Rhinolophus ferrumequinum: one gene and its partner. The protein of the gene in region 2 purifies or fractionates together with the protein of the main gene of each other region. This does not show direct contact. Links are inferred from orthologs where the notes say so. Each region holds a gene or a part of one and is shown on either strand. Other genes may lie near its edges.

Evidence for each region.
Region 1: the proteins of MTA2 (region 2) and ZNF512B purify together in Homo sapiens (affinity purification with mass spectrometry; 3 studies listed by BioGRID and IntAct, with this or other methods). This does not show direct contact. The link is inferred for Rhinolophus ferrumequinum from reciprocal best matches to the Homo sapiens genes MTA2 and ZNF512B.

The regions. Positions count from the first base shown.
Region 1 is NC_046306.1:207,713-219,555, reverse strand, and holds the start of ZNF512B (zinc finger protein 512B), read right to left. Parts: upstream 5,090-11,843; 5' UTR 5,033-5,089; intron 3,581-5,032; exon of another isoform or gene 3,460-3,580; intron 3,157-3,459; 5' UTR 3,155-3,156; coding exon 3,031-3,154; intron 2,794-3,030; coding exon 2,651-2,793; intron 2,306-2,650; coding exon 2,177-2,305; intron 2,064-2,176; coding exon 1,441-2,063; intron 1,333-1,440; coding exon 1,106-1,332; intron 994-1,105; coding exon 922-993; intron 826-921; coding exon 679-825; intron 518-678; coding exon 393-517; intron 320-392; coding exon 227-319; intron 12-226; coding exon 1-11. Other genes in the region: SAMD10 (sterile alpha motif domain-containing protein 10), read right to left, coding at 8,827-8,849, 9,024-9,164, 9,607-9,778, 9,856-10,037, 11,809-11,843. UniProt on the Homo sapiens protein: Involved in transcriptional regulation by repressing gene expression. Associates with the nucleosome remodeling and histone deacetylase (NuRD) complex, which promotes transcriptional repression by histone deacetylation and nucleosome remodeling.
Region 2 is NC_046294.1:8,172,641-8,184,254, forward strand, and holds the start of MTA2 (metastasis-associated protein MTA2), read left to right. Parts: upstream 1-6,332; 5' UTR 6,333-6,959; coding exon 6,960-6,987; intron 6,988-7,685; coding exon 7,686-7,753; intron 7,754-8,139; coding exon 8,140-8,233; intron 8,234-9,836; coding exon 9,837-9,954; intron 9,955-10,086; coding exon 10,087-10,150; intron 10,151-10,334; coding exon 10,335-10,452; intron 10,453-10,740; coding exon 10,741-10,843; intron 10,844-11,032; coding exon 11,033-11,132; intron 11,133-11,301; coding exon 11,302-11,490; intron 11,491-11,594; coding exon 11,595-11,614. Other genes in the region: EML3 (echinoderm microtubule-associated protein-like 3), read left to right, coding at 1-62, 284-454, 645-714, 803-913, 1,160-1,255, 1,619-1,774, 1,924-2,065, 2,506-2,657 and 9 more. UniProt on the Homo sapiens protein: May function as a transcriptional coregulator. Acts as a component of the histone deacetylase NuRD complex which participates in the remodeling of chromatin.

The DNA of each region.
Region 1 (11,843 bases), on a different chromosome or scaffold from region 2:
GAGGCACAGGGCTGGGGGCAGGCCCAGCCTCAGTGCCCCCGCCACCAAGGGCCCCTGCCCCTGCCCATGTCCAAGGTCAGGCCTGGGGCCACTAGGCTCTGCCACAGTGTGGCGTGAAAGGTCAGCGGTTGGGGCTGGGCAGGTGGGGTGGGGTGGCATAGAGTGGGCGGCCAGGGGTCAGGGGTCAATGGTCAGAGCTGGGCGGCAGCTGGGCCCAGTGGCGTACCTTGGCGCTGTGCTCAGCCATGGTGTGGTAGTTGAGGCCGGCTTTGGACTTGAACTGCTTCCGGCAGTGCTGGCACTTGAGTGCATCCTGCAGCTGCAGACATGGCCCTGCCCATGAGAAGCTGGACCTGGGCACCGCCCCTCCTGGCACTCCCGGGCAGCCTTACCTTCTGGCAAACCTCCATATGCTTCTTGAGGCCCACGAGGGTCTTTCGGGCGACCACCCTGCAGGTGGGGCAGACGGCCTGTCCCCGTTCATGGATGGCCCTCTGCCACTGCTCCTCAGGGCCACCTGGGGGACAGGGCCAGGGCCTCAGGGGCTGGTGGGGGCTCCCGGCACCCTGGACGCCAAGTGCAGGACCCAGGGTCCATGGCCAACCCCCCATCCGTGTGCTACAGGGCGTGCCCCACAGTTGAGACCTGGCCTGGGCCCCAGCACACAGCAGCCCCCACCTGGGACCGGGTGGGCCACAGGGGCCGGGACCTCCTTGATGACGGTGCTGGCAGGGGCCGGCACCTTCTTCCGGACGTCCTCGGCGCTTGGGCCCTCCTGCTTCTTGGTGCGGTAGCCGCGGGATTTGTCTTCAGCCTTGGCCAGGCCTGTGAGCAAACGTGAGGAGGTGCAGGTGTGGGCCCAGGGCACAGGCACCCTGCACCAGCCCAACCCCACAGGCGCCCGGCTGGCAGGGGCCTCACCTTTGAGTCCAAAGGTTCCTGAAATAGATGGCTGTTCCCCTGTAAACTTCTTGGGTGTTTTCTGTTTCCTTCCTGACTCGGGGGAGAGAAAATGGGGACCGAGATTCTGGTCAAATAACCATCAGGAGGCTGGCCGCTGCCCACCCCCCCAGCCATCTGCCCCCCCCCCCCGCTCTCCTCTTACTGTGCTTTGTACGCTCCGCTCCCTCCGCAGGTGGGGACACAGGGCCTGTTGCCCTCAGCGCCTCCTTGCCCCCCAAAGGCCTGTTGCCCAGAGAAAGGGGGCCACTGCTGGAGCCTGCGCTCAGCTGGAAGGCCGAGCTCTGGCCCATGGTGGACGGCCCATACTCCCCGTTCTCTGGCCTCGCCTGCTTGGGTGGGATGGGGCAGGTGTCCAGGCTGTCTGCAGCCCTGCAGGGAGCAGGGAGGTGAGGGGCAGGAAGGCGCACTCGGAGCCCTGTGACCCCAGGCTGCAGCTGGGGAGCACCCGAACCCCGAGCCGGGAAGGAGCCCCCGTACCTTTTCTTACCACTGCCCCTCCCCGCGGCTCGAGGAGTTTTGTTCTCAGACTTGGTCAGCAGCACCATTTTGCAGGACGGTGTGTGTCTGCTGATGGCTATGGGTCTGCTGACGGTCACCAGCTTGCTGACCACAATGGGCCTGCTGACCGGCACTGACTTGGTGACCGGCACAGGTTTGGTAACTGTCACAAGTTTTGTCATCGGCACCGGTTTGTTTGCAGTCACCGGTTTGGTGACTGGCACCAGCTTGCTGACTGTCACTGGCTTGGTGGTCGGCACAGACTTGGTGACCGGTATGGGTTTGGTGACCGGCACGGGCCTGCTGACCGACACTGGCTTGGTGACCGGCACCGGCCTGCTGACCGTCACTGGCTTGCTGATGCCAATGGGTTTGCTGACACCCACGGGTTTGCCAATAGTGACAGGTTTGCTCACTCCGATGGGCTTGCTGACTCCAACGGGCCGGCTGATGGTGACTGGCCGGCTGACCGGCCCAGGCTTCGGGGCGGGCAGGGGCCGATCCATGTGGTTCCAAATCTGATGCTTCTCCAGCTGGGTCTTGGAGGTGAAGGCGGCCTCACAGAAGGGGCATGGAAAGGTCAGCCTTTCTGAGATAGCACCCTGGGAGGAGAGGGCAGGCATGGGGTGGGTCGCCCGGGCCGCTGCCCGGACACACCCCAGCAGCTAGGCAGCACAGGCTCAGGCCTCGTGTTCCCCGACCCACAGCCCCTTACCCCTCGGCACCGCTGGTAATGGTACTTGAGCCCGTAGATGCTGGGAAACTCCAGCCAGCACCCCGAGTTTGGACACTTCACCCTTGAGTGCGCCTTGAACTCGTCTTTCCACTGGTTCATCAGGGAGAGCTGGGCGTGGGAAAGGCCGGGCTGCTGACCCCTCAGCCGCGCAAGCCTCTGCCAACCCGAGCCCCGGACTCAGCACCCTGCTCAGGCCTGTGGGGCAGACGGGCTACAGGAGCCCTGGGACCTCGGGAATGCACCCCAAGCAGCAAGGGAGCACTAGACCTGTTCTAGAGGCCTCACGGACGTGGTCAGCTAGGCCCAGGCCACACACGAAGGCCTGAAGCACAGACTGGCCTGCTGACATGGGCCGAGGGCATGCTGCTGGACGTGTGGAAGGCAAGTAGAGGCAGGGCAGTGGCCTCAACAGGCCGACCCCACCTGTGCCCACCCTGCCCTCAGGCAGCTCACGGGAATGTCACGGAGGGCCTGGTTCTCAGCTTTCGGACGCCCCTTTTTCTTTCCTTCCGTCCTGTCGCTGGCTGGACTTTCCGGGTCAAAGCAGAGTGGGGCCTGGCTGGGCACTATCTGCCCACCCCGGGCCACCGACAGCCCTGCAGGACACGACACAGAAGGCTGGTCAGACCTGGAGTGAGCCTTGCTACCCCCACCACAAAGGCACGAGGGCAAAAGGCCGCAGGACAAGAATCCAGGCCCCTGCCCTGGGAAGGCTCTCAGGAGCCCAGGTGGCCCACCTGGCACCCAGGAGCGGGACATCTGGGGAGGTGGCCCACACCCAGCACTAGCTGACCGTGACAGCTTAGAGTTGACCTTGGCCTGAGCCCTCTTACCCAGCTTCGGTGGGTCGTGCCGCACAGGAAGTCGGACCTCATTCCGGCTGCCCTCTTTCCCAGTCCCACTCTTGCTGGACCCCGGGAGCCGGCGGCCGCCTCCCACACCGAAGGGATCGGTCATCGCTGCAGAGCAAGTGGACAGACCTGTGAGGCCCCCCAGGGCCCACTCGGGACTTGAAATGGCTGCCCTTGTACCCCACTCCCAGACAGGCCTGCTCTCTGGCCACGGGCAGGAGGGACTTGTCTGCTGTGCTCTTGGTCACAGGGAAGTCAGGTGACAGGGGGCTTCTGGTTTAGAAGGGCCAGATGACCCTGGAGACACCATCAGCTTGGAAGGATCCAACCCTGTCCTGAGACCCTCACCAGGTCCGATGAGCTCCCTCCCTCCCTAGACACAGAGTCCCAGATGTGCCGTGAATCACACACCTCACACCTGGAGCTGGGCTGGGGGCCCCAGGAGAGGGGGAGTGCTCGGGCGGAAGGATCCCTCCTGGGGGCCAGTTACGACACCAGTATGGCTGTGGGCCGGGCACCTCGGGACAGCTTCCTGCACAGACGCAAGGCAATGCCACACTACCGAGGCGGGTGGCCCTGGATCCTCCTCCCCAGGACATACATGGAAGATAGCCAATGTGGGTGCTAAGGGCTCCTGCCCACTCCCCAAAGGCATGCACCCCCGGGCGGGGGGCAGACCAAGCACTGTGGACTGTGTGGCACCTGGGTCTGGTCCTCATGGCAGTGCAGCCATCCTACCTGACTTTTCTTGGCCTGTACCAGCCAGGGCCCCTCCGCCCAGATGGAGGCCTCGTGCTGGGCCTCTCGGCCGCCCTCCACCTGACTGGCCTCCGTACCTCCAACTCCCAGAACCTCTCTGTTCCCCACCGACAGGCCCACCAGCACCACTCCTGAGACCACTGTCCACTGGCCACCAGCCACAGGGAACATCCACTACCTGAGGCTGGACCTCCATGGACCGGAGAGCTGGAGGGACTCTGTTGGGTCCTCCCACAGGGACACGGAAGCCACAGAGAGTGGGGGTTGGGGGTGCAGATTGTGTGGGCAGGTGACCCCGCTCCTGGAAGTTTCTAACTAACTTAGATCAGAGGATGGAAAGGGGCTGCTCTCCCTAAGAGGGTACAGAAACTATCTGGGCAGCAGGAGGTCAGAGGTCAAGACCGTCACTGCCCATTGCCCTGCTGGGCCCATAGCCTGGGCCTGGAGGGAGGTATGTCTGGGTCTAGATAGGTCTGTACTAACTTCTGTGGACGTCCTCACATTGCAACTTCCAAAGGAGATGAGCCACCGTCAGTCAGTCACCCCAGACCCATGATGACCCCAGCAGCCTGGGGTGCGAGTACCTGCTGGGACCCCACTTTCCAGTCTTTCTCCAGCTTCGGTGGAGATTTCAGAGTTGGGGGGCCTGGGGCCAGGGCTGGCTTAGGAAGCAGAGACCCTCCTTCCATCCAGGGCCTATGAGTCTGGCACCAGGAGAAAGGGCTTCCGCCCTCCTGGAGGGCCCAGCAGAGACGAAGAAGTGGGACCCTCACGGAGGTAGGGGGCGCCGCGCGCTGACCGCAGGCGACGCTGGCAGCAGGACCACCGCCAAGGCCGCAGGGCCCTGGACCCGGGCTCAGGCCCGGGAGCGCAGAGGAAGCCAGCCAGACGATGCACACCTGGAGGCTGGCCTCACCACCCACCTGTCACCTGCGGCCGGGGTGCGGGCCGGGCCTGGCCCCGGAAGGGCCGATCGCGGGCGCCTGGGGAAGGGGGGGCGAAGGCAGTGAACCAAAATGGCGACTTTTTCTGGAGAAGGAGGAGGCAGGAACCCGGCGCCCGCGCCGGGCGCGGGGCGCGGCGCAGGGGGTCCAGACGCGGCGGGGGACGGCGGGCGGGGGCTCCCGCGCGGTGCCCCCGACCTGCGTACGGGGTCAGGGTCGGGGGCGCGGCCAGCGCAGGGGCTGCTCCGGGGTCGAAGCCGGGGTCGCGGCCGGGCGCTTACCTGCGGCGCCCAGCGGGACGGCGGCGGGGCGGGGGCCGGGGCCCGGCCGGGGCCGGACAGGGGCGCGGGGCGCAGGGTCCGGGCGGCGCAGGCTGCGCGCCGCGCTGCGCACATGCGCGCTCCCGCCCCTCCCACCTTTGACAGTTTTACTGTGGGGGGGGAGGGGAGGGGGCGAACTCTCGCGGTATTCCTGCGGCCGCTCCGCTACGGGGAGGGACGGGTCGGGGGGAGGGGGCCCGTCGGGCTAGCTGGCTTTCTGTACCCTCGGGTCCATCACATGCATCCGCCAGGCCTCCAGTGCAGTGACCAGTTATGTGGCCCATAGGGCGGGAGGCCTTTTTCAGGCAGTTGGGTAAACTGAGGCACCATAGGGGCGCAGCGTACTGCCCCAAACCCAGCGCGCTCTGGTTGAAGTTGCCGGACTCCTCTACGCCCTGGCCCTGGGAAGGTGTGGCCATCGCCCTCCCAGACCCTGAACCCCTGACCCCTGGGGGTCTTCTGCCTGAAAAGCAGAGTCCGGCTTCTTTTCCAGCTACCCTTGTGACACCTCTGCCTGTGGCCATCCTCTGAGGCTCGCTGGCAGGCCTTTATTGGGGTTACCATCTTTGGAGCAGCCTGTCAGCTTTGGTGGTGGGGGGGGTGTTCCTAGACCGGTGGCTAGTGTGTGGCTCCTCTTTGCCCCAGAACCTGGTCTTCTGCAAGGACACTGGTATCAGGTCTGAGGTGATGGGTACCGACCCCACCAGGACTTGGGAGTGAATGAACCAGGAAGGGGTGGCAGTGGGGAAGCAGAGTTACAGGCTGCACCTCAGTCCCTGGGGCCCTTCCCACCGCTGTCCTTACACTGCACCCGCCTGCACTCCAACCCCTCTGGTCACATAGGAGCAGGCTCGGGTTGCACTGCTGGTGCGCAGGGCACAAAAGATGTGGCAAACTTGGGGTCTGCCTCTTCTCACAGGGACCCTTGGGATCCACTCTCGATGCCAGCACAAAGTGCTCACACAGAGGCAAGGTGGAGTCCCTTTGTGGAGGGGTCAGTCGGTCAGTCCTTCTCTTGGAAATCAGAGCCAGAGAGAGGTCTGTGTGACACCAGGAGGAAGAAGGAATGTCCCTCTGTTGTTGACTGGGCCCACCCTGGGGATAGGACACTCAGGATTTCAGGAGGGGTCAGTGTGTGTGCCCTGAGGTGCATCCAGTTTTGTCAGCATTCCCCATTTAAGTCTGCATGTCTGTGTGTGTGCCATGTCAATGTCGGTGGGTATGTGTCCGAGTGACCATGTAGGTCAGGTGGCATCCTGTTTGAACATCAGTGTCACGGTATGTCTGTATCCTGTACTGACAAGATGCCTGTCTGTATGTCAGTACCCAGGTGACTGGACATAGGGCGTGGGGGTGTGTCTGGTACTCACAGACGTGTCCCGGCTGCGGCATGTCTGGAGATCAGGGTATCATGCAATATCATGTGTTTGTATACAGGGTGTGCAATGCCCCAGGTGTTTTTGTATGTTAAGCGGTCATTGTGTGTCTGGGACGCTGTGTTGGGGTGTGTTGTTGTGGGTCTGGATACTGGTTTCATTGTCTCAGAGTGTTGGTATCTGTGTTCAGACTGCAGTGGTTGGTTTATGCCTCTGTTACTATCTGTGTGTCTGGCTGCTGCCTGGGTACATGTCAGGGCACATGCTATGTCCTGTATATTCCTATGTCAGGGCACTGCCCTGTGGGGGACTCCAATGGGAGTCCCCCAAAAGGCATCCGCATCAAATCCCTGGAACCTATGAATGACCTTATTTGGAAAAAGGGTCTTTACAGATGTGATTGAGTTAAGGACCTGGAAATGAGATCGTCCTGGATTATCCGGGTGGTGCCTAAATCCAGTGATAAGTGTCTTTATAAAAGGGAGATTTGGGAGGTCAGAGGTGATGTGACCACATGGTCCAGGTGCAGTGACGTGTCTGTGAACCCAGGAATTTCCAGGCAGCCACCAGAGTTGGGAGAGCAAAGGAAAGATCTCTCCCCTGAGCCCGGAGGAGCAGGCCCTGCTGCGTTTCAGACGTGGCCTGCAGAACTGTGAGAGAAGGAGTTTGTTGTGTTAGCCTCTCGGTTGTCATCATTTGTTATGGCAGACCCAGGAACCTATCACACCTGTGTGCCTCTGAGTGCAGTCCACCGGCCTGAGCCCAGTTCCAGCCTCTGCCTTCAGTTCCCCCACGCCTGGCATAAAGAGGCACCCTGCCAGGATGTGACATCACTGCCCCCTGGTGGTCAGGGCTGGAGGCAGCTGGGCTGGGAACCCCCTCATCCCAGACCCAGGGCGGTGCCCATCCTCACACTCCAGATGACTTCAGCTGGACACCACACTGGGGCACTTGAGAACCAGGTTTATTTCTGGTCTTTTTATCAGAATATAAAAAGTGAACACAAAACAAAGAAGACAGGACAGGAGCTTGGGGATGGGGGTTAGGGAAGCAAGACAAAGGAAGAAGGGGGGCAGAGATGGGAAGGGCCCTCTGGAAAGGGCGCCATTGTGATGGCACCAGGTGGACAGGGACACTCAGGGCAGCTAGACAGGACAAGGGGACTTCCCATGGGGGGACATACAGGATGGGAGGGGCACCAGGCCAATTGTCCAAATTCCACCCGTGACATGCACCAACCAACCTCCTCTCTGGCAGCCAGCACAGGGAACAGAGGGGGCGGGGTGCTCAGCCTTGTCTGCACCCCCCAACTGAGGTTTTCAGAGCCCCTCAGGGGAGTGGGAGGGCAGAGGAACAAGAGGGACGAGGCAGCAGGACAGCCCTCACTGTCCCCTCTGCTGGGCAGCACCAGCCCCAAACCTCAGCCCTTGGGGCCAGGAGAGAGTGGTTATTCAGGTGCCTACTGGGTCTCTGGTGGGGGGGGCCGGCATAGCCCTCAGGACAGTCTCTTTGTGATGTGGATTTCCCTGGGAATACCCGCCCATTCCTCTGCCTCCATAGTAGAGAGAGGGTAACTTACCTCTCTCCAGAGAGGTAAAGTTACCCTGAGAGGAGGGTAACGTTCCCAAACCTCAGGCTAGGACACTGCTGAGCCCAGTGCTGGGCGCCAGGTGTGGGGTCCCTATCGTGCCATGTTAGTTCTCGGGCGCTTGGGCAATCCCGGACCTGCCTCACCTCGGTTGCAGTGACTAGATGGGGGCATGGTGGCGGGGAGGATGCCTGGCCAGATGGACGCTGTTGGCCATCATCTGGGCAGTGGGTTCAGCCTGTTTGGCGGGGTCAGGGGCTGGGCACAGGGAGCCTTGGCAGTTTATCCCACCTCTGTGGGCACTTCTCTAGGAGCTGGAGGAGGGTGTTGAACTGGACAAGTGGGTAGACAGACAGATCTCTCACCCTGGGAGAGGGCAGGATGCCCCAAGGAAACGTGACTCAGCCAGCAATGGGGGACAGACGTCAACATGGGTGAAGGGAATATAAATAATCACTCCTTGGGAGTTTGGGGACCATCCAAACCCCACTCTGGCCCCAGGTGGCTGCCCCACATGCTGCCAGCAGCACCAGGGGTGGGCCTCGGTTCAGGTCCTGGGAGAAGGGGCCACACTCAAGCAGCCTCCACGCACCCGACCCTAGGCATAGCCCAGAGTGCACAACCACAGGTGGCTGGACGGGCAAATCTGGTCACACCAGTCCATTGGGCCCGGCTCGGCCCCTGGGGATGCCTGCAGGGTCCAAGAGGGGCAGCATGGCCAGCTCTGCCTCGTCCTTGCCATGGGCTCCGGTCACAGTGCTGGGGTCTGGGGTTCAGGCCTCAGGCAGCAGCTAGGACATGTTTCCGAAGGAAGCTATGGGTGGATGGGGTGAGGAGTGGGGGTCTCTGGCATCGTCCCCTCTGCCATGGGCTCAGGATGGCCCTTACTGGGGTCCCACACCAGAGTCCCGCCACCCACCCTACACTCAGGCCTCCAGCCCCGCCCCCCTCCCCGGCCTCTACGGCACTCCTGGCTCCTCCCACTGACCTTGGCTGAGCAGCTGCAGGCTCCGCCCCTCTTCGCGCACCTGCAGGCGCAGCACCTGCTGCAGTACCTCCTGCCGCTGCGCCTCCTGCGCCAGCCCCATGCGCTGCAGCTTCTCTGCGTTCAGCCGCAACAGCGCCCGGCCTGGGGGCAGGGAGAGGGGCGGGGCCGAAGTCAACTTCCGGTGGGCAATCGGAGCCAAGGCGGGGGGGGGGGGGGGGAGGAGGGGGCCGGGACTCAGAAACAGAGAGGGAGACTGAGGAAATGTGGGGAGGGACACGGAGACACATAGATGCAGAAAGACGGGGTGGGGGGGCGGGAGGGGGATGGGGGGAAGGGGAGGAAGAAAGAGAGGAAATGGGCAGGGAGACAGACACACAGATGCGGAGAGAAAGGCAGGGAGAGGCAGAGGAAAGCCAGATGAAGACACAGAGAGGCTGGGAAACACAGTGGCAGGTTCCGCAGAGACAAAGACCGGAGGAGAGGCTGACTCAGGAGGAAACAGGAGAGGGTAGGAAGAGGAGAAAGGACAGGCTCGCCTGGGATCCCCGTGCCCCCAGCCCCATAGCCCCCAGCCCCACAGCACCGGTGATGGCGTGCTGGGAGAAGGCCTCCACGTAGACGAGGTAGTTGTGGGGACAGTGCTTCTTGAGCCACTTGCAGACGTCCTGCTGACTCCACAGGACCACAGGCCTCGTCAGGCCACCCAGTGAGGGACTCGTGTGGTACAGGCCACAGTGGTCAGAGTACAGCCAGCCCTGTGAGGGAGAGGGGTAGCAGATAGAATGAGGTGGTGGGGATGGCCGGGGCTGAGATGGGTACGGTGGCTGGGTACCTGGGGGGTCTCTGTGCCAGGCTGCTGCAGGAGCTTGACTGGCCGGCCACCTGCTGCCCTCTGACTGCGTGAGTCATGCCATGTGAGGCTGGTGCCTGGTGTCCTAGGCAGGTGGCAGGGGATGCTCTCGGTGGACACCGTGTGCTCCAGGAGGGTCCGGCAGAAGCTGAAGTGGGCAGTGGCTGCAGAGGAGGGGTGCCTGGTCAGAGTGGTCAGGGGCCCAGCCAGAGGCTCCCCTCGTCACTCAGCCCATCTCCCCTCCACTGAAGAAGGAGCCACTTTCCCAAAGGCAGAAGGAAGCATCGAGAGCTGTCTTGAGGGCCCCACCCAGCCCAAAGCTGAAGAACTGGAACACCTGTACCCTCCAAGTCCACAGTACATGTTCTGGGGAGCCAAATGGATTCTTAGAGAGAGCGGACGCCCACCGGGAAGCCTAAGACTTACAGCCAGGGGTAGGGCTCTTCTGGGACAGCCCTCACCTCATGCTTGCCTTGGGCTGGCACATGCCACACCTAACGAGGGTGCACACACAGGCCCTTCCTACGAGGAAACATTGGACCGGTGTCCTGGGAGGCCCGTGAGGACCGGTGTCCTGGGAGGTATGGTGAGGAGACCCCCTGGGTGCACTGCGGGCCCATCGCCACGGATTGTGCCATCTCTGCAGACATCCCTGCCACGTGAGGTTTGGCCCTGCCCAGCTGTGCTCACTGGTTGTGACTCATGGACAAGAAGCCTAAACTCTGGGCAAGCCAGGACCTGGGATTCCTGCTCCCCCACCTCCCACAGGGTCGCCAACCCAGGGTGACTGCTGTGCATGGTGGGTCTGCAGCCGCCATGGGCCGCTCAGCACAGGCCCATAGGCTGCAGCCATGTGCTCAGGGACCCCTAGTGACACCTGGAGCTCTCTTCCCGTACCAACTTCATTACACTCGTCAACACTTTGGTTTTATCATCATTTCTGGGCTGGCTGCTGACCTGAGTGGGGGAGGAGCAGTCGCCTGTTCACTGCCCCTCCCAAGACCTTGCACAGGTCCTGGTGCAAAGGAGGTGCCCAGAAGTGTTGTGATGAATGAACGGATGGACGAAGGTTCTGTGTGATGTGCATCTTTACAGCATCCAGGTCCTCACTCAGCAGGGAGACCTTCCTTCCCACGGACACAGCCCCCCACCCCTCGGGCAGGATTTGGCCCTGTGCCTAGGTCTCAGTAATGGGGGAAACCCACATCTTGCTCCCCTCCTTCCACCCCATTCCTGCAACTTTCCACTACCAAATAACCACAGGTGCCTGTAAATTTGAGGTCTAGGGTCAGACTGAGAGTGTGGACGATGCCTCGAGGTGGCTTCTAGTACCGTGGGAAAAGAATTAAAGCCGAGACCTTTCAGGGGACAGGCCCTGGGTCGCATCGCCTTGCCTCGCCTCGCCAGGGCCCGGCCTGGGTAAACCAGTCGGACACCTCCGTGGGCGTCTCACCTGTCCCGGGTCAACGGGACCCGCCCATTTCCTGCCCGCGCTGGGGGGAGGGATCTCTGTGGGTACATCCGTCCTTCCCTCCCTCCCTCCCAGCCCCAACGTCATAATTCCCGTAGAAAATGGGGTGGGGGCGCACGATCCCGGCTGTGGCCCCAGCCCCTTCTTCGCTCCAACGCAAAGGCTGGGAGGGTTTTCTCCGCGCGCGGAAAAAAAAGGTGACCGCACGGTAGTGCGGGCCTGGGGACAGAAGCCCCGGCCGGTGACCTCCCCCAAGCCAAGGGTGCGCTGATCCCCAAGGCCTAAGGCCGCCCCACCTCGCCCCCAGCGCAGCACAAAGACACAAGAGACCCCAGATCCGTCAGGACGCGCCCCCCTCTCTGTCCACTGCCGCCGCTCAAGTCCGCCAGGTCCCGCCCCCGTCCCTCTCGGTTCCCAAGCCCCCAGCCCACGATATCCCTGCGCCCGGATTCAGCCCGGCTCACCGTCCACATCCCGGCGCTCCCCGAAGCCGGCGCGC
Region 2 (11,614 bases):
ATCCGCAGCCTTGAGGAGCTGCCCAGCGGCCCACCCCCGGAGACCCTCAGCCTTGACTGGGTGTATCCTGCCCCCTCCAGGCCCATGGGAACCATCTTTCCCATCTTGGGAACTGCCCCCCCCTCCTTATGGTTTGCTCCTGGGTTTGCGGGGACAGGGAGACCTGAATCCTCCCCTACCATCCTCTGCCAGTGGCACTGCCAGCCAAAAGCTCTGTCCTGCTCCCCTCTTCCTCATCCTGCCCTTCATATAACCCTTTCCTTGACCGTGATCCCCATTCCAGTTATGGGTACAGGGGTCGGGACTCCCGCTCTAATCTGTTTGTGCTGCGTTCTGGGGAGGTAGTCTACTTTATTGCCTGTGTGGTGGTGCTGTACCGGCCCGGGGGAGGCCCAGGGGGTCCTGGAGGTGGCGGCCAGAGACATTACCGGGGGCACACGGACTGCGTTCGATGGTGAGGGTCCTGGGGCCTGGGAGTGGGCAGCTCTAGGCAAGGGGATGGGGGCTTGGCAGGAAGAGGGCCTGGGTGGGTGTGGAGGAGCAGAGAGAGACGCTGCCTTGCTGCTCTGCAGACGTAGAAAAGGTGTCCTGGGTGGTCTTGAGAGATTGACCGCCTTCCATAGAGTGTGCTCTCCTCCACTTAGCCTGGCCGTTCACCCTGATGGTGTTCGTGTAGCCTCAGGACAGACGGCTGGAGTGGATAAGGATGGAAAGGTAAGGCCAAAATCAAACCCAGGTGGACAGGGTGAAATTCCAGCCCAGCTTCCCTTCGTGCCCCTGACCCCTCCTCCTCCCACTCCAGCCTCTGCAGCCTGTGGTTCACGTCTGGGACTCAGAGACGCTGCTGAAGCTGCAGGAGATTGGACTGGGGGCCTTCGAGCGGGGTGTGGGGGCCCTGGCCTTTTCAGTTGCGGTAAGCTGGCCCCAAAGCCTGTAGACCCCCATCTTCCTTGTCTGAGAACCCCCTTCTTGCACTTCATTGGGAAGCTTCAGAAGTTCTGGCCTTCCTGATCCGTGCCCAGCCAGTTCTCCTGAGAAAGGGACATGTGTCCACTTCTCCTGCCCTCCCAACCTCTGATGGCGCCCCTTGCCTAATGACCTTGAATCCCTAGACCTCTAGACCACACTCAGCTCTTGCGATATGTGTCCCCGTCCTTAGGATCAGGGTGCTTTTCTTTGTGTGGTGGATGATTCAAATGAACACATGCTGTCTGTGTGGGACTGCAGCCGGGGCACCAAGCTGGCGGAGATTAAGGTGAGGACTCCAGGAGGCCTGCAGGGCACCAAGGGTGGAGAGGTGGGAGTACTGGGATGCAGAGAGTGCAGACTTAGCCACACATTTACTTCCTTTCTGGCTGGGTCACCTCGGACCAGCCTCCCAGCTTCTCCGAGGCTGAAATGGGGACTACGGAAGTTCTTACCTCACAGGAGGCAATGTGTGAGGCACTGGGGTGACTCATCAGGAGGGACTGTGAGTAGTGCTCTTAGGGGACGAGGGTCTGGAAGGAAGGGGTTTCTGGACTTCTGTAGACCAGCTGTCAGGATGCACATGAAGAGAGTCAAGTAGAGTGAGGGTGCTCAGGGCTTGGGGTGGCTGAATCTAGTATCTTCCCTTCAGAGCACAAATGACTCCGTCCTGGCTGTTGGCTTCAGCCCTCGTGACAGCAGCTGCATTGTCACCAGCGGGAAATCCCATGTCCACTTCTGGAACTGGAGTGGTGGAGCAGGGGTTCCTGGGAACGGGGCCCTCACCCGGAAACAGGGTGTCTTTGGGGTGAGGTGTGGATGTGTGCAGGGTGGTCAGGGAGGGCAGAGTGGAGATGGAAGTATTGGTCTGAGGACCCTAATGCTACCAAACTCCCAACTGTCCCGTGACTTTTGGTCTTTGCTCTTCCCTCTGCTCTCTGCTTGCCTCTCGCCTAGAAATACAAGAAACCCAAGTTTATCCCTTGCTTTGTGTTCCTCCCGGATGGAGACATTCTCACTGGGGACTCAGAGGGGAACATTCTCACCTGGGGGCGGAGCGTCTCAGATTGCAAGACCCCAGGCAGGGGTGGGGCCAAAGGTATGTGGCTGTGGGTGGCATCTGGGAAGTCTAGTACCCCAGAGTGTCTGTGGGAACAGAGGATTACCCATTTTTTTTTTTTTTTGCTGTGAGTTGATAGTTCTCTGTGGACCCCAGCAGAGCCCTCTGGGGGGCCAGTCTAGAAGGGTAGGGAGCAGCATGGCAAGGGGTAAAGGGCGGAGGTTTTGGTGTCAGCCAGATCCTGTGTTCAAATCCCAGTGTTGCCACTAGCTGTCTCTCCTTTAGGAAGTTATCCCACTTCTTTGAGTCCCAGTTGTCCAGTCTGTAAACTAGGGAGAATAATAGCCAGGGATCAGAGATGGTATTCAGTAGGCACTCAGATGCTGGCAGTTATTACTTTATTATGACAGACTAGACTGCTCCCGTTCCCCACTTCCCTGCACCCCAAGAGCCTAACCCACCCAGGACTTTGCCAACAGAGACTTACGGGATTGTGGCCCAGGCCCATGCTCACGAAGGTTCCATTTTCGCCCTGTGTCTCCGGCGGGATGGGACCGTGCTGAGTGGTGGTGGGCGGGACCGCCGGCTGGTACAGTGGGGGCCTGGGTTGGTGGCCCTCCAGGAGACTGAGGTGAGGCCTGGACTGGGTTGAGGGAGGGAGGGGGATGACGAAGGGCCAGTGGGCCCCTGACTTTCTGCCACCACTCTAGATTCCTGAACACTTTGGGGCTGTGCGGGCCATTGCTGAGGGGCTGGGCTCTGAGCTGCTGGTGGGAACTACGAAGAACGCGTTGCTGAGGGGAGATCTGGCCCAGGGATTCTCCCCTGTGATCCAGGTTGGGGAGCCAGAGGCTTAGGGAGGAGGCGGGAAGAGCTGTTGGGGCGGGGCAGAGGTGACAGCATATGTTCTGCTGCAGGGCCACACGGACGAGCTCTGGGGACTGTGCACACATCCCTTCCAGAACCGCTTCCTCACTTGCGGCCATGACCGGCAGCTCTGCCTGTGGGATGGGGAGGGCCACGCGCTGGCCTGGAGTATTGACCTCAAGGTAGAGCCCTGTGTCCCTGGACCCCCAGTGCCACATCCACCATGACTCCCGTGGCTTGAGGTTCTTTCCTCAATATCCCCTTCCATTCTGCTCCCCAGGGGCAGCCAGTGGATACTGGTATATGGCTGTACGCTACTAGAATGTTCATTCTTCCATGCCGATGCCTCCAATGGGCCCCAACGCCCCAGACCTTCTCTTGATCCAGCAACTGACGGTTCATCTCCGGCCTAGCTGGGGGCCTCAGTTCTGGCTGTTAAATGTTTGAGTATCACCCGCCGTTTAGGCTCCAGTGACATCCTGCCTCCACCCCAGGTCTACCGTCCCTCTCCTCCTGCCTCCTCCTTGGGAGGAGGAGGCTTTGACCCTACCAAGACACCTATCAAGGTGTCTGTCTTGGTTCCCTCCCCAGAAAGGCATCTTCTTGAATTCACCTTCTCTCCTCTCGCAGGAGACTGGTCTCTGTGCAGACTTCCACCCCAGTGGGGCAGCTGTGGCTGTAGGACTGAACACTGGGAGGTGAGAGGGAGTCAGGACTCCTGGGAGGGGAAAGCACGAGGTATGGGGAGGGTTTCTGGTAATGGGAGGGGGTGTGAAGGAGAGTCATCACTACCTGCTCAGGAGCCCCAACTGCACCTTCCTGTTCCTCACTGCTTCTTCCTGCAACCTGGGCCCCCCTGCTCTCCTGTGTCATCTGTCATCACACCTTCCCCACCACTCTCCCCTCCAAGCTGGGGAGTGGAGGAGGTGGCAGCTCAGGATAGAGAAGCAGCAGGGATGGGAGGCGTGGGGAGACTAACACAGGGAAGTGACAGGCTTACGGACTCCATAAGGCTCTTGTAGTCCAGCCCTGTATTCCTTTAGCAGAAACCCTTCAGCTTTTATCTGCCCTTCGCCTTTTCTCATTTCCCAGCATATCAATGCAGTGCCTACTTCTTTGTCTACCTCATAGCCTTTCTGGGGGTGTGTCTGAGTCTCTCCAACTTGCCAGCCCCCATGCTGCCCAGCACACCTGCTTCCCGCTCCCCTCCCTTCCAGGTGGTTGGTTTTGGACACAGAGACCAGAGAGATCGTGTCTGACTTCACCGATGGCAATGAGCAGCTCTCAGTGGTCCGGTACAGCCCAGGTGGGAGCCATCCCCACCCCGGACCCAGACCGTTCCCTGGCCCTTTCCTGTCTGAGTGACTGTCTTTGTAGATGGGTTGTACCTGGCCATCGGTTCCCATGACAACATGATCTACATCTATAGCGTTTCCAGTGATGGTGCCAAGTCCAGCCGCTTTGGCCGCTGTGTGGTGAGGAAACTGGGGTGGAGGGTGGGACATTGCCATAGCAAGTAAACTCCTCAAAGGGTCCAGTGCATTAAGGGAGGTCCGGGGATGGGAAATGGGAGCTCCATATTTAGCCTCTTAACCTTTGCTCCAGGGTCACTCCAGCTTTATCACTCACCTTGACTGGTCCAAGGATGGGAACTTCATCATGTCCAATTCTGGGGACTATGAGATCCTTTACTGTGAGTGGCAATAGAATGGGCACGGGGAGAAGGTAATTGGGGTGGGTTCTGTGTGTGTGTGTGTGTGTGTGTGTGTGTGTGTGTGTGTGTGTTCCTCCTGGTAGGGAGGGGATGAAGAAGCCTATGTAGGGAGCTCCACGCAGAGGAGCTTTTAGATGGGGAGGTGGAGATGGGATTGGAGTCAGAATTTTACATATAGGAAAAATTTTGTGATTTGAAAAAAAGCCACACATACTGTTTTACACCATGTTTTTCTTGTTCCCACAAGGATTTGAGGGAGTTGAAAAATGCACTGAGAAAAGGCTGTTTTGAAAAAGTTTCTCAGGGCAGGTGTGGAGGGATTGCCTTATCTAGGGAGGAATAACTGATGAGAAGCTGTTAGGAGAACTTCCGTGAGAACTCAGGAAGCAAACGGGGCTGGGTTTTGCCTGGGCTGAGGGCTACTAAGGTGAGTAGATCACATGCCACTGCCTCAAGCCAGTCTTTCCAATCTGGCCTTCACGGCATGGCATCTTCCCCACCGAGGGCAGGGTGAGGGCTGAGCACAGTGGGCTCCGTCTCTCCAGGGGATGTGGCTGGAGGCTGCAAGCTGCTGAGGAATCGCTATGAGAGCCGAGATCGGGAGTGGGCCACCTACACCTGCGTGCTGGGCTTCCATGTTTACGGTGAGCAGGGACGCAGGGTTGTGGAACCCTGCAGGAGGGATGGGGGGGGGACAGGTGGAGCCTGCCCCGGGCTCGGAATGCTGGGCGTGTGTGGAGGGGTGGGCATCATGATACTGGCAGATCCAGTCCAGGAGGCCCCTCGGGCCCTCCCTCGGGAAGGATTGCCAGGAACGCAGCCGGTGGGTGGCCGCTGCCGCCGGAGCGCAAGAAAGGGTACAGCTCTGGGCTGTGGGTGGAGGCGGGGAGGAGGCCGGGCTGAGGCCAGCCACTGTGCTAGGCGTGTGGCCGGACGGCTCGGATGGCACCGACATCAACTCCCTGTGCCGCTCCCACAACGAGCGCGTGGTGGCTGTGGCTGACGACTTCTGCAAAGTGCACCTCTTCCAGTACCCGTGCGCTCGCGCCAAGGTGAGGCCTCCCGGGGCCTCTGGGGCTGGGCGGGCGAGCAGGGCCCGGGGCTGCGCAGCTCCCGCAACTCGACCTTTCCCCCAACCCAGGCGCCAAGCCTTGTGTACGGCGGCCACGGCAGCCACGTGACCAGCGTTCGATTCACTCACGACGACTCGCACCTCATCTCGCTGGGTGGCAAAGACGCCAGCATCTTTCAGTGGCGAGTGCTGGGCGCCGGGGGCGCGGGGCCGGCGCTTGTTACGCCCTCTCGAACCCCCTCCCTGTCCCCCGCCTCCTCTCTGGACGTCTGATCGCTGCCAGACCGGGCCCACCAGTCCCGCGGCGTGGCCCCGCCCCACGCGACACCCCTGGACCAGGAGCCGACCCTTTCTTCGACTTGGAGACATTCCCGATCGCGCATTTCCCTGGAGGGGGACAACGGCACCCCTGCACACACTGTATAGACCCGCTGGCTGAGCCGGGCTGCCCCAGCCTGGACCCTGATTCCCGCAGCCTGCTGAGGGGCAATAAACCAAAAAGCAAAGTCGCCTCCCAGTCCTTTTGTGGGGCGCGGCTGGGCGCCTCCGGGGCCCTGTGGGGGTGGGGATTAAGGAAAAGAGAAGCGCGGAAAGGGTGAGGGAGCGTAGACCATTCATGCAAATGACAGGCAAAGCCACTTGCAAATAAGCCCGCGAAGCGCAGGCATGCGAGTCTTTCGGGGCCGCAGGAGGAGCGGCATGGCTCCCGCGAGGAGAGAGTTAAGCCCAACTCTTCTCGGCGTCGGAGGAGGGGCGGAGCTGCAACGGAAATAACCGAGCGCGGGGCCCCGGTTGGCCGGAGGGAGCCGAACTGCTTCCGGAAGTGGCCGATCTGTGGGGTCTCGCTCTCCGACCTGAGTCGAGCGCCGGGCCTTGTTCTCCCGGTCGACCGAAGGTATTCCGGAAGGAGGCGAGCCCCGAGGCGGGCAGGGTCAGCCTTCCCCGCGGCCGGCAGGGCCCGAAGTCTGGTGGGGCTCTGCGAGGGCGGGAGACTCCGGAGCCTGGCTCTGGGCCGGCGGGAGCCGAGCTCGTTCCGGAAGAAGCCGAGCGGACCGGCGCCGGCCTCGGCGTCCCCGGTGTGAGGCAGTAGCAGCGGCGGCGACAGCGCTGACCGAGATGAACCGCGACGGCTGAGGCAGCGGAGGTGCCGGCTGCGCGGGCTTGACCGAGACTTCCGCGAAGCGCCAGCCCCGCGCTCCGGGCTTCGTCTCGAGCCGAGCCCTACCCCCCCGAGCCTCCCGGACCCCTTTGTGCGGCCAGAGGCGGCGGCGGGAACGGCCATGGCGGCCAACATGTACCGGGTGGGAGGTGAGTACTGGGCGCGGGGGCTGCGGGGCCCTGGGCGAGAGCGCCTCGGCCCCCGGCGGCGTGGTTCCGAGAGTGGACCGGAACCGGAACCGGGGGCACGGGGAGCGAGGGTGCTGGGACGGCGACGCGACCCGGCGCCGAGGCTCGCGGAGAGGCTGGGGGCAGCCCCGACGGCACTCTCAGGGTTGTGTCTGGGGTCCCCCGGGTCGGGAAGCGGGGCTTGGGAAAGTGGTTCCAAAGGAGCTGACAGGCAGGCAAGGGGCGCGACGGGCCCGGGCGACCGCTTTGCCTCTTGCGGGGGAGCCACCGGGAGGTTTCTTCTCCCCAGGCGTTATGTGCGCCTCGGTTCACAAAGGAGGGGGGGCCTTGCGCTAGAGTGAACAATAATTGCTCCCTTCCCTGAGCCTAGAGTGCAACCCCATCGCTGAGGTGGTACTGCAGGGGAGCCCCCTGCTTCTTGGTTCTTTCTGAAGGCTCGCTTTTGAACGAAGGGTCTGACTTTAGAACTAGGTGGCCAGGGGTAGGGGCATCCCTTGTTTTCTCTTAGTCTCTCCACTTACACATTTCAGCGTCCTCTCTACCTGGACCCTTACCTACTTTTGGTCCTCCCAGGCCTGCTTTGGTCTCCTCCTACCCTAGTACTTTGGCTCTCCCGTCTTCTCCTGATTTTTTCGGTTATTCCTCACCGCCTCCTACAGATTACGTCTATTTTGAGAACTCCTCCAGCAATCCTTACCTGGTTAGACGGATTGAGGAGCTCAACAAGGTGAGTGGAACAGAATCCATCCGCCAACCCCGCTTCCCCAAAGTGATCTCTTTTTTCTTAGGTCTCTAACTTCAGGTGGAGGGGGAGGGTGGGGAGAGAAACCTATCCTAAGTACCTATTCATATTCATTCATTCATTCATTCATTCATTCATTCATTCAATGTATTCAGGAAAGGCTGGCTATTAGAGCTTAGTGGGAACTTTAGTGTTCTATCTCTTGTGGGCTAAAGAAAGAGATTTGGAAGTCTGTGCTTAAATGTAAGTCTCATTCCTAATTTCTGGGTGTTTTCTACATCCCTTAGAAACTTATTGTTGTTAGTCTCTTCTTTGTGCATTTTTATTTTCAAATGACCAGTTTTCACTGCCATTTTCCCCCCTCCCCCTAGACTGCAAATGGAAATGTGGAGGCAAAGGTTGTGTGCCTTTTCCGGCGAAGGGATATTTCTGGTAGCCTCAACAGCCTGGCCGATAGTAATGCCAGTGAGTGTCTTTGTACCCCCACCCTACCCTCGGCTCCCCTTCCGCCCCTTCCCGGTGAGCTGAGGCCTGGGCATGTCCCTGCAGGTGTTTCTCCTGGTTGCATGCCCTAGGTAGGGGTGTGAGCTTGGGGGTGGGAAATGCCTGTTCTGTGGAGGGAGGCCTGTTTTTAACCGTTGGATGGAAGCAGCGCGAAGAGACCATGATAAGGAGAGCCAGAATGTGTCTTGTGTGTAAGTGTGTCTAGGTGAATGGTGTGGGTAAAGAGATGATAGTATTTAAATAGGGCATGAGGAGGAGCTTTAGAGACGCAGGACCCTTGGGGGACAGTTTGGGTATGTTGGGACAATGGGTCATGGCCGAAGGTCAAGGTGAAGAGGATGAGATTGTACTTAGAAGCCTGCACAACAGGGAAGCAGGCTTATATTGTGATCACCAGGTGGTGAGACTACATTGACGGGACAGAATAGGAAGTGAGGAAAGTTTTCTTGCACTTCTTCCTCTTTCTCACCTCTCCTGTTTTCCCCTCTACTCCATTTTATATCTTTCTCTTTTCCTGTAGTCGTCTTCCTTCTCTTTATGCTTTCACGTTCTTTCAAAAAATATATCTCCTTCACTTTTCTTTAGTGTCCTGTTCCTTTCCTGCTTTGACTTTCCCCTTCTTCTTCCTCCTTCCTAAATTATTTTCCTTCTTCCTGGCTGTTGTGGGCATGAAGGGGTTAAGGAGGAGCCGGGCCTACCAAGTTCTCTGGCCCTTTGGGGTTTCCAGGCCCATCTGGCAGGGGCTGACCTTGGCCTTGTCCAATCAGAAGGGGTGTGGGGGGGTGTGGGAGGTGTGGTCCCCTCCTCTTAGCACAGGGTTTCCGGAGCACACAGGCGAGGGGTGGAGCCTGCTGGCCTCCCCCCCCCACCCCGCCCCCCCTGAGGTTGGGAACAATGCACCAATGAGCCTGGGCCTGTGGCTCTTTTGCCCCTTCCCACTTTGGTTGGTGCCCAGCCAGGTTAACCCTTTCCACCAAGGTTTCAGGGCAAGTTGCACTTACTTGGGGAGGAAGGTATTGGTACTGGCTTGAGAGGTGCTGTCCTTGAAAGCCCCACAAACTATTATTAGCCAAGTAGAAAGTGAGGAATAGTTAGGGTTGCCTGTGATGTTTAAGAGCAAAGAGTCTCCTGAGCTCTGAAAAGAGGAACTGGTAAACACAACTTTGTGTGATGTGTTTTTTAATCTTACTGAGTTTCTGGATCTCAGGCTGGTTTAGCAAGAAAGAGACCAGTGTGATATTCTTGCTGGGCCTGGTGTGGGCAGATTTGTGCTTTATGAATGGTGTCTGAGCATTGGCACCTGTGTTTGGGATGGATTTCTGTGGCATTCTTCATATTCTCAGCAGCTCTTCCTAAGAACATTAGTGCTGGAGAATTGGGAGCATCTCTGATGGGGCAGAGGGCTAAGCGTGAAATCTGAGGGGGTGAGGGGATGGAAGGCAGATGCCTGGGGAGAGTGGGAGAAACAGCTGAGACAGGAAGTATTCTCCTTGGGCTAGAGTGTCTGAGGTGGCTTCTTTCTGGATTAGTTTCTGACTTGGTTTCTTCCTCCTGAATCTCTCAGGGGAGTTTGAAGAGGAATCAAAGCAGCCAGGGGTGTCGGAGCAGCAGCGACATCAACTGAAGCACCGGGAGCTTTTCCTTTCTCGGCAGTTTGAGTCGTTACCAGCCACCCACATACGGTATGGGACAATTGGGGCCACTGTGGCCAGCAGGCCCTTATTTAGAAGATGGAAAGGAGGGGTAGTGTACTGGGGATGCTGGGGAGAGGGCATGAGGAGCTCACCCAAGGTCTTCTGGTCCCTCTCCTGTAGGGGAAAATGCAGTGTGACCCTCTTGAATGAGACTGATATCTTGAGCCAGTACCTGGAAAAGGAGGTGAGCAAGAGGTATTGGGAGAAAAGGGAGGGGAGTGGGCATTGCCCCCAAAGGCAAGAGGAAAGGAGGAGTGCGATGAGGTATAGGTTGACAGACTGCCTGTCTTGGGAACTCGGGGTGTACCCCACTGCCCCATGCCTGTGAGGACTGCTGCCCTGCTTACCTCCTCTCTTCCCGTCTCCAGGACTGCTTTTTTTACTCACTGGTGTTTGACCCTGTACAGAAGACACTTCTAGCTGATCAGGGGGAGATCCGAGTTGGTTGCAAATACCAAGCTGAGATCCCAGATCGCCTGGCAGACGGTAAGCAATGGCACAGGCTGTGTGGCTCCTGGGTTATCTGACATCGTAGTCTCTGTGAGTCGTGTGCGCTGGTGTCGTGCAGTGCAGTCTGCGTGGCTCTGTGCTGTGACCCTGACAAAATGAGACCTCAGGAACCTGGAAGGGGCAAGTGGGCACAGTTGGGAAGAGAAGCCTGAGAGTTGAGGTGGCTGATAGAGTCCACTCGGGAGATGAGGACCAAGGTGCTGTTGTGAACTTCAAGACACCTGTTATTCTCCTTTCCCTCTCCCCATGATGCCATCGCCCCAGGAGAATCTGATAACCGGAACCAGCAGAAGATGGAGATGAAAGTCTGGGATCCAGACAACCCTCTCACAGACCGGCAGATTGATCAGTTTCTCGTGGTGGCCCGGTGAGGGGCGGGTGGTTGGGGAAGATGGGCTGGGGGAGGTGTGGACATCATTCTGAGTCCTGCTCTTAGAGGTGGGCATTATTTTTTTGTTGTTGGCTTGGGTGTTTTTCTTTTTTTCTCATCAGGCTTATTCCCTTAGCCCACTTGCGCTTTCCTCTTGCCCTCCTGACTTCTTAACTTTTCTCCTAGAGCGGTGGGGACCTTTGCGAGAGCCCTAGATTGTAGCAGTTCCATTCGGCAGCCAAGCCTGCACATGAGTGCAGCCGCTGCCTCCCGGGATATCACCCTGGTGAGCAGAAGTTGGTGGGAAGTCGGGCAGGCTGGGCTTTGTGGGGATCTGCAGAGCCTGGGGAAAGGAGAGGAGGGTGTGTCTGAGCAAGTGGGTGCATTGAGAGAGTAAAAGCAGGGGAGCGTGCTGAGGGTTTCAGGTCATCAGCAGTTTCCCACTTTCCCTGTAGTTTCACGCAATGGATACATTACAAAGAAACGGCTATGACCTGGCGAAGGCCATGTCAACGCTGGTGCCCCAGGGGGGGCCAGTGCTGTGTCGGGATGAGATGGAGGAATGGTCTGCCTCGGAGGCCATGCTGTTTGAGGAGGCCCTGGAGAAGTACGGGAAGGACTTCAATGATATTCGCCAGGACTTTGTAAGTGGATGGGGCTAGGAGGAGAGATAGAAGAGATGACAGGTCGGGGAACCAGGTCCTGGGGCCAGATGCTAGCTCATCCTTCTACCCTCTGACCCCCTTAGCTACCCTGGAAGTCACTTGC